Linked DNA regions of Caenorhabditis elegans. The protein of the gene in region 2 interacts with the protein of the main gene of each other region in a pairwise test. Each region holds a gene or a part of one and is shown on either strand. Other genes may lie near its edges. The genes, in order: apc-11 and apc-2.

Region 1 (2,948 bases), 3.5 Mb from region 2:
TTATTATGTTTAATGGAATTTTTCAGCTCTTTGCAAGATGTTTGAAGATTTCCTTTCCAAGAAATCAGCTGCTCCAGTCACATACGACGTGTCGCAAGTCTACGAGTTTCTCGATAAGCTCTCCGATGTTTCTATGATGATCTTCAATCGCGTATGTATTATTGATCTGCATATCCTCCCAAATCAATTCATTTTCAGGAAACCGGGCAATACATTGGTCGTACACGTGCATGGATCAAACAACAAGTCTACGAGATGATGCGTGGTCGTTGTCAGCATCCGGAAGGTGGAGAGAAAGTCATTGTTGGGTATTGATTACATTGGAAATATTATTCTCATCTCGCTCTGATCTTCATGTGCTCGCCGGTCTTTTATTTCTTCTTCCTTTTCAATGATTCTTGCTCAATTTACAATTCGATTTCAATTGCGATATTTTTATACTTTCTGATGAATTTCTCACTATGAATATTTCAATTTAAAAAGTCTTCGTTCTTGTTAATTTAAAATACAAATGAGGAAAACTGAGTATCATTTGACATGAAAAAATGGAAACACAAGATAAAAACGTAGATTACTCTACAATTGTCCAGTCTTGTCTGCAAAGCGGGCATTGAGCTCTTGGTTGGTTAGTTGGTGCTGCAATCCACTTATCGATGCAATGACGATGAAAAGCATGGCGACAAATTCCCAGAACCAATGGGCAATCATCTCCTGGAAACTTGCACATGTTGCACGCCGATTCAAATTCCATTCGACAAATTCCACAGGTATCTTCACCTCCTTGTAACCACTTCCACTCTCCACAAACCTGAAAAATGTCAAGTTTTTGAAACTTCAATTTTTTTTGACAAACTAACATGTAACTTTTTGACGGTAATGCTCATCCGAGTGTTGGTTTTTAATAGAATCCCTGGATGATCATCCTGCATCTGAAAACCGAAATATGATACGAATTATTTCTTATATGTCTTACAGTATGAAGTTCAGAACTGCTCATCGACATATTTTGTTGATCATCGTTTCCCTGTGATTCATCATTTTCCTGTTCGTCCATTTGAATTTGTTGCTCCATTTCTATCAAATGTGATATTTTATATTGACAATTAGATTCTGGCTCGTACGACGAAATCATTATATAGGTAGGATTGATAAATAAGGTTGAAACCTGTTCGATAATCACAATAACACGATTGAAAATTCAAAATTTTATGAGAAAGAAAACAACGCCACTATTATCATCACTGGTTTTATGTTGTGTGCGAGAATAATTTAACAAACGACAAAAACACTGAAAAAGGTGAAAGAGAGATCTTCAGACAGCAATACCCTTGAGTTGTTGAATGGCGTTTTGAAGGAATTTTTCCTGGAAGTCTTTCTGGGAGACTTGCTTCTCGACACTGTCATTGATCAACTTCAGCAATTGGTCGCGCTCAAATCTGGCCTTTGTCTCCTCGGTCTCTTTCAAATACTCGATGCGACGCTTGATCTCATTGGAAATGGTTTGAACATTCTTTCTGAAAAATAATTTTAAAATACAGAATAAAAAGGAGATTAGGAGATTATATTCAAGTAACAAAATTCGCGGTTTTTTTTTCAAAAAAACTGCGATAGAGCGCGTTTTATTGTTTAGCTCACCTATAAGCGGCCTCCAGCTGTAGCTGCATGGAATCCTTGAGAGAAGTTGGCATGCCTTCCTTGAGAGCAGCAAATGAAGCGGTTTGAGCGGCAGAGGTTTTGCGGAAATCAACAGCTTCCTTCAAATCTTCTTGAATAAGTCCTTTGAAGAAACCAACGCGTTCCTGATAGTCCTTGTAAAGACCAGCATCGATTTTATCTAAAAGAAAAAAAAAGTTATTTTTAAATGTTCAGTCACTAACAGCCGGCGGTTCTGGAAACCAAAAGATAGAAAAGAATCCATCCAACAGTCATATGTCCTTGCTCCTCAAACACCCACAACTCCTTGTTAACGAGGAAAGCAAAGAGTCCTCCGAAGAAAAGATATGGACCAGAGGTACCAGTAACCTTTTGGAATGCGGTAAACCACGAATCGGGCATCATCAAGAGACGAGTCTTTGGTGGGTACATTGGACGAGACGGGTATGGATAATTGGTCAAATCCCGATCTGGGTGCTCTTTGAAATCTTTTGGAACGGATGGAAGGAGTTCAGGAGCGGACCATTCTTTATTGCAGGCATCGAACATGGACTTTGGAGCTTCAGTCTCCGTCGGCAGTGGGATTCCTGTAAAAGAACTATAACAAAAAAAAACAATATAATGCTTACCTTTGAATCTATAAGCAATCTTCTCAAAATACCCGATGCTGTTATCTGATGATGGGGCGACAGCATCTGAAACAAAAAATTATATATGAGAAAATGCATTTAAATAAACTCACGTCCTGTTGCAGCTCCACGCGCAACGATAAAAACGCGAGAGAATGTCTGAGGAGATGACAAGCGACTCAACGACATCTGGAATTCAAAGAATTTTTGGGCGTTACTGAATATCTGTATACAGAGAATTCAAATAGAAAACTTTCAAGTTGTGCAAATTAACTATTTTTCTTATTGATTTGAAAGAAAAGAAGAAAAAAGAAAGATTGAAAATGGAAATATAAAACTAAACACAAAACGAGGCCGCGCAAGGTAACTCTGAGGGGTACTGTATTCGTTGCGAGACCCAGCGATCACCAGCGCCTATGCTCCTTTAAAATAATGTATTCGCGTTATGAAAATTCTACACTTAAAATCAACATAAAAAACTCGTAAAAACCCAATAAATAATAAAAGTATATTATTTTATTTGTAACACGAAAAAGTGATGATTTTTGGAGCAGAGTTTTGAGAAACAGATCAAAGGACCACTTTGAGAAAAAAAAGAAGAATAGACATGTCAATAATATAAATAAATTTCTGAAGTGTAATAATTAGCTTCTGTTGGAATTATTA
Region 2 (5,692 bases):
AGTTCTCCATTATGAATCTTGATTAGTTAGTTTTATTTTGCGAAAATTCGATTTTTTAAAATCCTTTGCAAACAAATAATATTTTCAGCATGTACACATTTGACTGGAACCACTACTCGAAAAAGAACATTCAATATGTTGTGTTCACAAAGGTCTGCCAATCACACGCCCCAGGTCATTTTGTCGAGATGCTAAAGGAAGATTGTGTAATATTTCAATTTCGATCTCTTTTTGGCAATTATCATTCTCTTTATTCAGAGTTGCCGAGACTGTGGAAGTGCTGATTTGGCAGTTAAAGTTCGCCTTACAGTACCACTTGATTTGTCTGATATCCCGATACCATGCAGTGAAGATATACAGATCCACGTGTCATTTCTGGCTGACGATCTCTTGGAAAGACATATATCATCAAATGTGAATAGAAGTTCGAATAGAGATGATCTGGACTTTTCGAGAAGAACGTGTGAAAAGATGTACGATTTGTATCAAAAAATGATGAGAGGACAATCAAGTCGCATGTACACAGAATGGTTCGATAAGTGCAAAATTTTTGTGAAGGTTCGGAAAAAAAGTGTTCAGACTGAATTAATATAAATATGATTTGCAGAATTTTCTCTTCTCCAAGTCGCTTCATCTTTATCACGGAAATGTAATACGTCGAAAGATTGAAGAGAGTCAAACGTTGAATAAACGACGATGCTTCATCTTTGCACAAATTTTTGATCTCGAATAGTTTTTGTTTAAATTTTTTTATTTCTTTGGATCCTCTTGAATCTCAAAATCGACTGTGCCATTTTTTGTTGTTTTTTAATAAATTGTTTTGAAATATTTTATAGAATTAGATCATCATAAATACCAGCTTTGTTTAAATTTAGAAAAAAAAAATTTCAAGATTATAAAATGAAAGAAGTTATTCGCCGTCTTTCTTTTCCTGAATGATACGATATGACCCATTAATGCAGGTTAGCAGTCCCAGCGCAACTTTTCTTTGCAAAAACGCGGAAACATGATCAAGAGTGGGTCCTGCAGAAGTTGGAGAACCGAACATACGGTAGACACGATGCATCCGTTCCGCTTTCACTTCTCCGTTAGGTGCATGATTGGCCTGAAAATTGATTTTTTTATTCTTATATATTTTAAGTTTTACTTACAATGAAATTTCTAGTATATCCCCAATATTGTTCTAAAGCATCAACCATATCAGAATTCTCTTCCGGTTCCACATCTTCATCGTCTTCAAGGTCCGGTGTGCCTGGTCGAACGATGGAAATTCCACTTGGATTCCGGGTCAATGTCCACGTGTCGCTACTGATAATGGGATTCTGAGAATGAAATTATATGATAACTTAATAATTTTCTATTTTACCATGCAAATAAATCCTTGTTTAACCAGCCATTCCAATCGTTTTCTTGTCACAACCACTGACATTCCCATTTTCTCGACTACTTCAGCAGTTGTCCATGTTTCTTTTTCGAGGAACAAGAAGAGGAGAAGAGCGTACATATTTGGAATTGTTCGATCTACTTCAACTCCATCGATATTGATAGAAACCTCTACACATCTTTAAAAAGTTAAAATTCACATGATAATTCAACAAATGAAACTTACCCAACACTTCTTAACCATTCTAATTTTCTGTCGCGCTTCACGTCCAGATAAGTTTCTTGGTAAACGTCCATCGCAGCTTGCAATGGTTGAGGCATTAACTGAAATAATTTTTCATATTGTAACATTGTTGCAATATTCTCACCGCTTCTGTTTTTTCAGTTTCCAACTTTGGCCAATAATGACTTGAGATGATACATGCAGAAATTGGAATAATCGGAACATCATAATTTCCAGCGCTTCTTTCACTCATGTCTTCAAACTTTTTATCAATATCGAGACTATGAATAACGTCCCGAAGCATCACTTCACAATGTTGTAGCTCACTGTATTGGAATCTCAGTTTCAGCAAGTCCAGGTATCGCTTCTCGAATTCAGGCTAAAAAAGATATAGACTTCGTTGAAAACGAAAAGAGTACTTACATCTTTGTTGTCCGAACTCGAAAGTCGTTCAGCAAGAAGATTTCTATATTCTTTGACAAAAAGTTCTTTGGATCCATATACAGAGACAAGCATATTGAAGACGTCAACACCTTGATGCCCGGGTGCTCCATCACCTGAAAATAAGAATAACATTTTAATAACTTTTACTGAATTTGAGAGAATTGTCATTGAACTTCCGTGAGTTTTTATCTGTAATCACTAACCAACAGTAGCATCAGTTGGGTTAGGCATCCAGTTTTCCCATCCAAGCGTCTCCATATTTTCTGGCAAAAAATCATCGTTGACACCTTTCAGTTCTTCCTCGTCCATCATTGCCGATCGAACAGTTTTAGACTGTAAGCTCTTGAAAAGTGTTAGAAAACGTTTTTTTAGTACACGCTTACCATATCTTTTTCCAGTTCATTTTTCTTATTAGAAGTAATGTAACTGATAATTTGTTGTACAGTGTCAGGTCGCCTTCTGAAAAAAAAATTAAATATAATTAAACAATCAGGAAATAGCTTACTTCAAATATTCTCTGATAACTCCACAAACTTTATGCATAACCACGCAACTATTGTCCATTTCACGAAGAGATTCTACGCACGCCGCATAAGCTTTCAAAATGTCTTTTGTATCAACCGCTGAAATTTTAAATATTTAAGTTTTAAATAATTCCCCTCACCAACTTACATGCAACAAGAAGTTTTGTGTTAACTTGATCTATCAAGTAATTTGTGAAATCGACTCTCCCATGATTATTAGTTCTCAAAAGGCAATATTTCATTGTGATGAGACTGCGAAATTTTACTGGAAAATCTACGGCGATCATTTCATATGCCTACAAAAAATATTTTTTAGGTTCCAAATTTTTTTAAAAACTCACGTTTTTGGAAAGCATTTGGAAGACATCTTTGTAAATAGTGTCACTAATTAAATGGAATGCGTCTTGCATTGTTACTTGATCTGACCAAATCCTCAGACTCTCCATAATTTCTTGAAACATTGAACATCTCAGCTCATTGTCAAAAGCCGCTTTCTCGTGCATCACCAATGTTGCAGCAAGCTCGCGAATATACACTGAAAGTGCTGCGTTCATGTGACGATTTGCATTGAGAATTCCAGTTTTTCTGAAAATGTTATATATAATTTAGGAAGTCAGGCTTTACCCACAATTCATTGACAAAAGGATTAAAATCTTGAACATATTGCCCGCATATTTCTTTTTTTTCTGGTGTCCACAGCTCTTGGTTTAAATCGATTCCATGATCGATTTTTCGATGAGGAAGGTACATGGCAACTGAAAAATGTTATTGGAAACTGGGGCTGAATGAAAAAAAAATACGTCTGTAATTAGTGAAGTGCGACATAAAATAAGGTCTGAGAACTTTGATAACAACTTTCTGCATGGCCAGTGGGAAGATGAGCTCTGCAGCATCGCGAATATCCGGTTGACCAACGCCTTTTTCCAATGCAAACTGAAATTATTTTCCATTAGCTTGTTACACCTCTATTTTCTGACCGTTTTCCATAAGGAGAAGATTTTTCAGAGCATTTAATTGAGAATAAGGCTAATTTGTTCTTGATTGGATTTAAAAATTTTAAAACTCACCATCAGGCATTCTTGCTGTACTCGTTGCAGAACTGTCGTCATATCATAAACTTTTTCAATATTTTTTGCGTATTTTGCGTGATATATCAGAGCATCCCAGACTTCTTTTTTCTTTGAGACGCAAAATTGTCTGAAAACTGTCTTTACGGAACTCATTTTCAAAAATTCCATACCTGTACTTCATCGCAGCCTCTTTCGAAGTAGTCATTCTGTCAAAAATGGACATTTTCGAAATGGTTAAAATAATTTCAGCAAGGATACGAGAAGAGAACGATGACAAATGTGTGAGAAACTGTATATATTAAAGGATCATGCTTAAAACGAAGGTTGGGGTCTCGGAAACTACATTTCCACAAAAACCGCGAATAAATGTTCCTTTAAAAATTATACGAAAAAATGTTTGTTTCTTTTTTTTCACACGATTTTTCAGAGTATTTTCTTTCAAATTTCTGTCGATTCCACTTTTCCTCCGTCTTTTGAATGTTCCCATGAAAGAGACATAGACATTGGTTCAGTAGAGCGCATACTACGGGGCAGTCAGCGGCAATTATTTTTTATTGTAATTTTTGAACATTATCAATTTTCCCTGTTTTCAGACCAATAATGGTCAGGGTAAGAGCTGATTTACAATGTTTTAACCCCAGGGACTACCAGGTAATTTTTAAGTAGCAAAATAAATTAAAAATAATCGATTTTCAGGTGGAACTTTTGGATAAAGCGACAAAAAAGAACACAATCGTCCAACTAGGCACTGGTTCAGGAAAAACTTTCATTGCAGTTCTACTGCTGAAAGAATATGGAGTTCAATTGTTTGCACCATTGGATCAGGGTGGAAAACGAGCGTTTTTTGTTGTAGAGAAAGGTAATTTCGTCTATTAAAAATAAGCCAGCTGGCCAGTAAAGTGAATAATTGACAAAAAAAAACAAGATTTATTCTAAAACATCATTTTTTCCAGTAAACCTCGTTGAACAACAAGCTATCCACATCGAAGTTCACACAAGTTTCAAAGTTGGTCAGGTCCACGGACAGACAAGTAGTGGTTTATGGGACAGCAAAGAACAATGTGATCAGTTCATGAAGAGGCACCATGTGAGTGAGAATACGAAGCTGAACTATCGAGCATATATATTTCAGGTTGTTGTGATCACAGCTCAATGCCTTCTTGATTTGATTCGACATGCGTACTTGAAAATTGAAGACATGTGTGTTCTGATCTTTGACGAATGTCATCATGCTCTCGGTTCTCAACATCCATACAGAAGCATCATGGTCGATTATAAGTTATTGAAAAAGGGTAAGTATTGAGGAATTAATGGTGAAACTTCGAATTCGCTTCAAAATACGGAAATATTTTTTCAGACAAACCCGTCCCACGTGTATTAGGACTCACAGCCAGTCTTATCAAAGCGAAAGTTGCGCCGGAAAAACTAATGGAACAGTTAAAAAAGTTGGAATCTGCGATGGACAGTGTTATAGAGACAGCTAGTGATTTAGTCTCGGTATGATTTAAAAAAGACAAACAAAGACTTGTTTCCAATAAAACTAATTTAGCTCTCGAAATACGGTGCGAAACCCTATGAAGTTGTGATCATCTGCAAAGACTTTGAAATTGGGTGCCTGGGTATTCCGAATTTCGACACAGTTATAGAAATATTTGATGAAACTGTAGCCTTTGTGAACACCACAACAGAATTTCATCCAGATCTAGATTTGGATCCTCGTAGACCGATTAAAGATTCTCTCAAGACGACGCGAGCTGTTTTTCGTCAACTGGGACCTTGGGCGGCATGGCGAACGGCTCAAGTTTGGGAGAAAGAGTTGGGAAAAATTATAAAATCTCAAGTGCTACCGGATAAGACGTTGCGGTTTTTGAATATGGCAAAAACATCTATGATTACGATTAAAAGATTGTTGGAACCGGAGGTGCGTACCTAACAAGAGACGTTGGAAAATGGTACCTCGAAGTATCGTTATGGTATAGCAATTTTTCGACAAAAAAGTGTTATCATTCGAAAAAGTTCGTAACTCCCTACTCACCAAGAGAGCTACA

What was found.
Region 1: the proteins of apc-2 (region 2) and apc-11 interact in binary tests that used the Caenorhabditis elegans proteins (3 or more experiments, as listed by UniProt).

What each region holds. Positions count from the first base shown.
Region 1 is NC_003281.10:4,593,351-4,596,298, forward strand, and holds apc-11 (Anaphase-promoting complex subunit 11), read right to left. Parts: upstream 1,075-2,948; 5' UTR 1,073-1,074; coding exon 974-1,072; intron 930-973; coding exon 858-929; intron 809-857; coding exon 572-808; 3' UTR 513-571; downstream 1-512. Other genes in the region: erh-2 (Enhancer of rudimentary homolog 2), read left to right, coding at 27-151, 199-315; asb-1 (ATP synthase F(0) complex subunit B1, mitochondrial), read right to left, coding at 1,313-1,514, 1,636-1,834, 1,878-2,240, 2,283-2,348, 2,396-2,471.
Region 2 is NC_003281.10:8,078,827-8,084,518, reverse strand, and holds apc-2 (Anaphase-promoting complex subunit 2), read right to left. Parts: upstream 3,891-5,692; 5' UTR 3,868-3,890; coding exon 3,815-3,867; intron 3,772-3,814; coding exon 3,642-3,771; intron 3,508-3,641; coding exon 3,375-3,507; intron 3,330-3,374; coding exon 3,203-3,329; intron 3,160-3,202; coding exon 2,916-3,159; intron 2,871-2,915; coding exon 2,723-2,870; intron 2,674-2,722; coding exon 2,556-2,673; intron 2,510-2,555; coding exon 2,434-2,509; intron 2,393-2,433; coding exon 2,254-2,392; intron 2,164-2,253; coding exon 2,030-2,163; intron 1,986-2,029; coding exon 1,752-1,985; intron 1,708-1,751; coding exon 1,610-1,707; intron 1,563-1,609; coding exon 1,367-1,562; intron 1,323-1,366; coding exon 1,152-1,322; intron 1,106-1,151; coding exon 911-1,105; 3' UTR 818-910; downstream 1-817. Other genes in the region: K06H7.7 (uncharacterized protein), read left to right, coding at 1-25, 89-206, 259-558, 608-733; dcr-1 (Death-promoting deoxyribonuclease), read left to right, coding at 4,245-4,295, 4,341-4,503, 4,598-4,731, 4,777-4,936, 5,002-5,141, 5,194-5,565. UniProt on the Caenorhabditis elegans protein: Probable component of the anaphase promoting complex/cyclosome (APC/C), a cell cycle-regulated ubiquitin ligase that controls progression through mitosis and the G1 phase of the cell cycle.